Linked DNA regions of Callithrix jacchus. The protein of the gene in region 1 purifies or fractionates together with the protein of each later gene. This does not show direct contact. Links are inferred from orthologs where the notes say so. Each region holds a gene or a part of one and is shown in the gene's direction. Other genes may lie near its edges. The genes, in order: UXT and RPAP2.

Evidence for each region.
Region 2: the proteins of UXT (region 1) and RPAP2 purify together in Homo sapiens (affinity purification with mass spectrometry; 4 studies listed by BioGRID and IntAct, counting the BioPlex papers as one, with this or other methods). This does not show direct contact. The link is inferred for Callithrix jacchus from reciprocal best matches to the Homo sapiens genes UXT and RPAP2.

Annotation. Positions count from the first base shown.
Region 1 is NC_133524.1:48,734,188-48,738,696, reverse strand, and holds the start of UXT (protein UXT), read left to right. Parts: upstream 1-1,636; 5' UTR 1,637-1,699; coding exon 1,700-1,729; intron 1,730-4,509. UniProt on the Homo sapiens protein: Involved in gene transcription regulation. Acts in concert with the corepressor URI1 to regulate androgen receptor AR-mediated transcription. Together with URI1, associates with chromatin to the NKX3-1 promoter region.
Region 2 is NC_133508.1:130,049,274-130,053,098, forward strand, and holds part of RPAP2 (putative RNA polymerase II subunit B1 CTD phosphatase RPAP2), read left to right. Parts: intron 1-670; coding exon 671-706; intron 707-3,366; coding exon 3,367-3,825.

The DNA of each region.
Region 1 (4,509 bases):
CAAAAAAGGAAAGCCCTACAGCTAAAATCATACTTAATGGTAAAAGGCTGAATATGTTACCCCTAAGACTGAAAACAATGCAAAGATGTCCACTTTCACCACTCTTATTCAACATAGTACTGGAACTTCTTGCCAGTGTAACAAAGGAAGAAAAGCAGAGGTACAGAGATTGGAAAGAAAGAAATAAAACTATCCCTGTTTGTATATGACACAATTGCCCATGGAGAAAACCAAAGGAATCTACCAAAAAAGGTGTAAAACCTAATAACTGAGCTCAGCAAGACTGCAGGATACAAGACCAACAGACAAAACTCAATTGTATTCCTATATATAAGCAGCAACTTAAAAGAGAACACCATTTACGACCACTCCAAAAAAATTAAACACTTAGGTATAAATTTAAATAAGACGTGTACAGAACTTGTGTGATAAAAATTACAATATACCATTGACAGAAATTTTTAAAGATTTAAATAAACAGAGACATACTATATACATGGATTGGAAGATTTGTCACAGTTAAAACTTAACTTCTTTCCGAGTTGGTAAACATGTTTAATGCAATTCCTATCAAAATCCAAGCAAGATGCTTTGTAGATAGAGACAAGATTTTCTAAAATGTGTATGGGAAAGGCAAAGGAAACAGAGGCATTAAAACACTTTTGAAAAAGAATAAAGTGCGAGGAATCACTCTATCCAATTCAAGACAGCATGGTAGTACTGGCAGAGGGATAGACACATAGACAATGGAACTGAATCGCAAACCCAGAAAGAGCCCACACATAAGTATGGCCAACTTATTTTTGACAATGGTAAGACAAGTCAATGGAGGAAAGATAGTCTTTTCAACAAATAGTGCTTGAGTCTGGACATCCATAAGCAAGTTAATGCACCTCGACCTAAGTCTCATACTTCATACAAAAAGTAACTCACAGTGGATCACAGACAGCAGTAAGGAGACACGGACAAATTACCATCACAGTGGAGAATTTCTCTCTCCTGAAGTAAAAGAAGAAATAGACAAAAAAGGACAGACTTTATATGACACAATTGACCACTAAATAATTAAATATTATTTTCAAGTATATACAGAACGTTTCTAAAAATGCACTACGCACTAGGCCGTAAGTCTCCTTGTATTTCAAGGAATGAGCTCCACGTAGGTGTTTTTCTAACACAGAAAACTAAGGTTACAGATCCATTACAAAGAAACTTTTGCACACTGAAAACCCCACTTTTGAATAACTCCTCAGTAAAAGACAAATGAATACGAGTTAACACTCTTAAAAAACAATGCTCCAAACCCAATGGGGCTTAGAATGAACTTTAAGACCTTAAGGGTGACATTAGAAAAGAGAAAAGCCTGAAAAACGATGAGCGAATCATCCAACTCAAGTTAGACAAACGATTCCATCACTGACCACACAGAATCGCCTAGCACTCACCCACCCCGGTCCCCCATCACCTCCACATCCCTGGGCACTGAACGTCGAATCCTCCTGACAACTATGTAACCCCGGCTGAGAACCGGCGAGAACCGCAGCCGCTTCCGGTCACTACCCCTAGCACCGCCCTTTTTCGGGGTTTGGGACTTCGCATGAGTGAGGGAAAGGGGGGTCCGCGCGTGCGCAAAACCACGTTTGAAGCCGCTAATAGCCAGGAGTTAACATGGAGAAATTACGGAAGTGAGGGGTTTGGGATGTTCGGTGCCCCTCCGCGACGTGTTCAGGTAGGGAACATGGCCGCGCCCAAGTCGCGCTTCCCCATGGGGTACACCATGTTGGAGTAGTGTCCATTCCGTATTGAGGATGAGGACACCTCTAAACTCACAGAGCAGGGAGGTGGAGCTGTCCCGCTGATGGCGGGAAGCACGGGTGGGGACGTTTCTCTGGGCGGGCTTACTGGAGGAGGGGTCTTTGGATCTGTAGTCTATGGGTCCGTTCGATACCGTTCAGAGAAACTGAAGGGCCTCTTGGAAAGAATCAGGGGCGGCCGCGGCTATCTCCTGGCAGATACCACAGGATGAGAAGCGGGGAGATGTCACGTTGACTACAGGCTTCTCCTAGGACATACCACAAGGGAAGGAGGAGGAGAAATCAGGGTTGTGCAAGCCTTCCTAGGATATGCCATGAGGTGGGAAAAGGGGAGAACTCGGAGTGCGGGGTTCTCCCTCCTGCTGTGCCTGTGGGTCTTGGATGCGGGGTTTTAATGCTCCAACAATCTACCTGATCTCCCACTCCATCTACCCTAACTAAAAAGGGACTGTGTACCAGTACTGATAATTTTGAATATGTCTTTAGTCTAACGCAGTATGTCAATAAAAATCTTTAGGAAAAGTTATTATCTTTATTTCCTCATGAAGTCAAATCTATATAGTCATGATGCCCTTGCTTTGGAAATGTAGCTTTAATACAAGGCTCTGCTTCTACCCTTCCACCAGTTTGCTGCCCCTTATCACCTCCAATGTGTAAATTCTGGAGATGTCCCTGCCCTGTGGGAGATGTCACTAGAGCAGAAGGGGAAGAAGTCGTGCAGTCCTCCACCTAAGAATGTCTATTCATCCTTCAAAACCAAGTTCAAGTATCTCCTCTCCAGGGAATCTTCCTGACAGAGCTAGAAGCCTGTATGCCCTGCTGAAAGCCTTTCTGTGAGAGGACCCGGTGTAGGCTGAAGTGTGGACTGGCTAGGGGTTCTCCATCCAGTCTTATCCCCTCTGGTCCTCGGTTTAACAATCTCGAAGGTTAGAGGTGTCCTAGTCCAATTAGCCTCAAACTAATTCTTGGTCAGACAGATCCATCAATCAATAAGGGAGACTGCATACCAGGGGCACCATGGGCAGCTCACTAAGCAAAGGAAAAGAGACTTCTTACATGATTTTGAGGAATAGTGGAGTTGAGATGAAATTGAAATGAAGCAATGTTTTAGTGGGCTCAAAGCAGTTATTATTTTTATTTCCTCATGAAGTCAAATCTATATAGTCATGATGCCCTTGCTTTGGAAATGTAGCTTTAATACAAGGCTCTGCTTCTACCCTTCCACCAGTTTGCTGCCCCTTATCACCTCCAATGTGTAAATTGACCCTCTATGTAAAGGGTCAATGTCAGGTCTGGACTGTGAAGTGAACCCAGAGTGCTGTTTCCTTGGAAACAATTTAGTTGTAGAATTTTGTGTCCCCAGATAACTCTTGCCTAAAGCTCTGCACCTGAGTTGAAAATTGAATGTTGCTTCTCCGGAAGTGACTTGGAATCTCAAGAGTCTGATGTTTCACTCTTACTGATGTAATTTCAAACAGCAATTTCTGATAGTCTATGATTGTAGAGAACAAAGTGTCTCCATGACTAAGGAAGCAATAGTCACCTAAAGTAGGGGTTCTTTATGGCATTAAAACTGCAGCATGTCCTTAGAAGAAATAATGTTTCCTGTGAATTTTGCATTTGGCTTTATATGTGTCTGTTCTTCCATTCTGGTGAATGGCAGGGCACATTTTTATAGTCTGATTTCATTTTTATTTTCTTAGACAATTGGTGTCTTCGTCCATGTTCTGCTTCTATAGGAGAATACCACAGATTGGGTAATTTATAAAGAAAAGAAGCTTATTTGGCTCATAGTTCTGGAGATTGGGAAGTCCAGCATAGTGCCAGCATCCTTCTTGCTGCATTATTCCATGGCAGAGGACGAGAGGGCAAGGAAGCATATGAACAAAGAGCACAAGGGCCTGGGCTCACTTTATAACAACCCACTCTTGAGTTAGTTACTCTTGGTAACTAACTCACTCCCTTAATGACAGCATTAATCAGTTTATGAGAGTGGAGCCTCCATGGCCTATTCACTTTTTAAAAGCCCCACCTCCTAATGCTGTTACAATGGCAATTTCAATGTGAGTTTCAGAGGAGACAAACATTCGAATCATAGCAGTTGAACTTTGATTATCCCAGCTTGTCATTCTGCCCCTGCATCCCTGGTCTGGGCAAATGTTTGTTGAATGAATAAATGAAAGAAGAAATTGAATCCGTGGAAACATATTTGGCATGCATACACTTCTAATAGAGTGCCAAGAATCATTGTTAGTTTTCTTGGATGTCATAATAGTACCAAAAAAAAAAAAAAAAAAGCTCTGTTAGACCACTTCAGAGAAGAAGGAAATGTAGAGCCAGCATATAAAGAGATGTTCAAAGTCATTAGGAAAATACAAGTCAAGACGTAATAAAATGGTATTTTAAACCCATTCAAATTGCAAAAACGTAAAAGTCTGACAGTACCAACAGTTGGAGAGTATGTAGGCCAACAGGATCTTCTTGCCCTGCTGAAGGAATGTAAATCATTGCAAACACTTTAGAAAATATTTTCGCATTTTCTCCTACAGTGAATACATACATACCTTACAGTCCAGTGAGTCCACTCTCATGAATGTATCCAAGAGAGACACTTGCACAAGAAACCTAGGATATGCCTGTTTCTTAGTCTGTTTTCTGTTGCTTACAACAGAATACCTGAAACTGGGTAATTTCT
Region 2 (3,825 bases), on another chromosome or scaffold:
TACATCATTGTTATGAAGATCAATACCTGTAAAGCTCTTAGAACATACATTTTTCTTCTACTAAATTGTAAGGGTTGGCTTGGCACGGTGGTAATCCCAGCACTGTAGGAGGCTGAGGTGGAGGCAGTGGGGAGCAGGGGGTTGCTACTACTCCAATGTAATTGCTTTCTCAGAAATTAAGGCAAAAAATCTTAATGACCATATAAAGGAAATCCAACAGAATTATAAACAATCTCTGCCTTTAAGAAGCTTATAGTCTAGTTAAGGAACCAGACTAAAACATGAAAAGTTAAACATTTAGTTAATGGTTCTAGTAGTAGGCCATAAAGGAGTACATGATTAAATATGTTACATTGTTCAGACAACTTAGAGAAGGGATTTACTTTAGTCCACATTAGTCAAGGAAGCCTTTATAGGGCTGGTGGAATTTGAACTTAGCCCTGAAAAGTGAGTGAAGTTCAAATAAGAGTGAGACTAATCCAGATTTCTTGTTGATGAGTTTCACAGTACTTTGTCATCCTTTAACTTTTTTCTTAAAGAAAAAAAAAATTTAATGAACTACTTCCTTTTAATTACATTTTCTACTATACATATTGAAGTTTAATAAAAACTTGAAAATATTTGACATGTCACTTGCCTTCAGTTTTCTATTTCTGTATTCTTGTTACAGCCATCCCGATTTTCAACTGCTAAAGGAAGGACAAAGGTATGGTTGAATCAGTATCATTTACCATCTATTTATTTATGTTAATAGAAACATTAGGAGTGAACCAGGTGGTATGAGCTCTTGGACTTCCTGTGCTGATGCATTATGTAAGTGTCCCATTCTAGCCCACAGAAAGAAATATTTGACCTGTTCAGCTTTTTCTTTTGTGATGGTAAAATGATGTGTTTGACCCGTATGATTTATTGTACAGCTGTTCCTACCGAGGAAATCTAATTTAACCTGTTGAAATATGACACAAATACAGCCTCCATCTCAGATACTGTGCTTCTTTGTCAACTAGATTGTGCCTATTACATTTGTTGAAAGGTTTTTATAGTCATATAGGATTTCAAAACCAGTAATGTATCAGTTACTTAATAATTTAAAGAGTGTCTAAAGCATTAATATAAATTCCACGTTGTGATTTTTTTTCTTAACTTTCCTCATGGTATTGTTTGTCTGACCATGGCCATCTCTCAAAACACATCCCTTAACTCTCAGAATAAATGTTCCTAGTTAGTAGTCACTACCTTAGTCAGAGGGCATTGGGCACAAATAAGAGATTGCTATTTATTGATGTATATCTTTAATTTATACCTTCAGATTAGTATAAAAACATAATTGCCTTATTCCAAGAGGAAGTATGAAATACATGAAAGTTAAATTGTTCTAATTTTGTTGAAGTTACACCTGTTTTTACTTTTCTTCTGATGCAAGAGATAGCACCATGGCTATATAGGCTAGATTCTGACTAAAAGATGGTATCTAATTCTGAACTAAGTTTTCATCTTTTTTCTTCATTCCCATCCATGACCTTGCTTTCACCTTTTTTTAAATATATTTTTTTCCTTTACATTTCCCCACAGCATACTTCTTGACCTAGAGTCTTTTTCATCCCAATCTTTTAAAGTTTTGCTATATGTCTATGCTTGAGGACATCCTTGTTTGTTTCAAGTTTGTATTGATGAAGCTACTCTTGCCTTCATTCTTTCATAATTCTTCATCTTATTCAAACTAAATCTGAAAATTGAAGAACATAGTCGGAGACAACTTTTGTTTTTTTATTGTTAGCATGCTGTTGTAATTCTGGATTTTCAAATTTAAATATCTTTTATTGAAAATTGTTGATTTGCTAACTTTTTCTGCTATCAGTTTCCTGTGATTTTCATTCTATAGAATTTTCTGTATGACAACCAGAATTAGAGAATTTACCCATTTATTTTTATCTCTTTATCTTTTCAAACCTAAACACAATTCCTGTAATTTTTTTATTTAAGAAACCAGTAATAAACTTTTCTTTTTTTTTTTTTTCTTTTTTTGAGATGGAGTCTCACTGCATCACCCAGGCTGGAATACAGTGGTGCAATCTCGGCTCACTGCAGCCTCCGCCTCCTGGGTTCAAGTGATTCTCCTACCTCAGCCTCCCGAATAGCTGGGACTACAGGCATACATGAGTCACTATACCCAGCCACAATTTTCAAAAGAAAAGCTTTTTTTAAAAAGGTCAGCTGGTAATCCCAGGACTTTGGGAGGCCAAGACAGTGAGTCACTTGAGGTCAGGAGTTCAAGACCAGCCTGGCCAACATGGTGAAATCCCATCTCTATTAAAATACAAAAACTAGCTGGGCATGGTGGTGCATGCCTGTAATCCCAGCTACCTGGAAGGCTGAGGCAGGAGAATCACTTGAACCTGGAAGGTGGAGGTTGCAGTGAGCCAAGATGGCACCACTGCACTCCAGCCTGGGCAACACAGCAAGACTCCATCTCGAATAAATTTTTAAAAAGTAAAATACAAAAATAAAAAATAAAAAGGTCAGTCAAGCACAGTGGCTCATGCCTATAATCTCAGCACTTTTGGGAGGCCAAGGTGGATGGATCACTTGAGGTCAGGAGTTCAAGACCAGCCTGCCCAACATGGCAAAACCCCATCTCTGCTAAAAAAAAAAATACAAAAACTAGCCAGGCATGTTGTCACCCACCTGTAATCCCAGCTACTTGGGAGGCTGAGGTGAGGGAATCGCTTGAACCCAAGAGGCAGAGGTTGCAGTGAGCTGAGATTGCACTACCGCAATCCAGCCTGGACAACATACTGAGACTCTATCTCGAAAATATGTATATTTTTATATTATTTTTCATACTATATTATATATATATTTTAAATACATATATTATATAAAATAAGCATATATTAGATATAAATTTACATATTATATATACATATTCTATTATATATTTATATGAATATAAATATAAATATATGTATATATTATAAATATAAATATATATATATACTTCATATATATTGATATATATATTTTTGCAACAACAGGCAAATCCAACTACTGCAGTAGGATAGCATTATCAAGTTTTTAAAAAAATTTTTGTTGTACTCTTGTAACAATTTTTAAATAATTGGGGGAAAAAGATGAACGAAGAAGAACTATATCAAAAAATATATTATTAATAGATATAGTGAAATTATAGGCTTTTTCTGAAATTTGTATATCAGAAGCTTATAAACAAGGTTTTACCAAGGGAATTAAAATTTTTACCTTGAAAGTTACAATGTATAAATACTATGGGGTACTTTACTTTCCTATTGTTTTGGTTTTTATTTGCCATTTATTATTTAATTATTTTATTTCTCTTTCATTTTACAGTGGCCATTCTGGAGTAGAAGTAGAGTTATGCAGTAAAGCCATTAAAACATCAGATATAGACAATACTAGCCACTTTGAAAAGCAATATGAATCTAGTTCTTCCAGCACTCATAGTGATAGTAGCAGTGATAATGAGCAAGACTTTGTTTCCTCCATTCTACCAGGAAACAGACCAAATTCAACAAGTATTAGACCACAGCTGCACCAGAAAAGCATAATGAAAAAGAAGGCTGGTCACAAAGCTAACTCCATACACAAAGAACAGACAGTAGTAGATGTCACTGAGCAGTTAGGCAATTGCAAATTAGATAGTCAGGAGAAAGCTGCTACAGGTGAACTTCCCTTACAGAAAGTAAATACTGAGAATTCTCCAAATAGTACTTTGCCTGAAAGATTAAAAGCTTCAGAAAATTCTGAAAGTAAATACAGTAGGTCAGAAATAACTCTAGTAGGCATAAG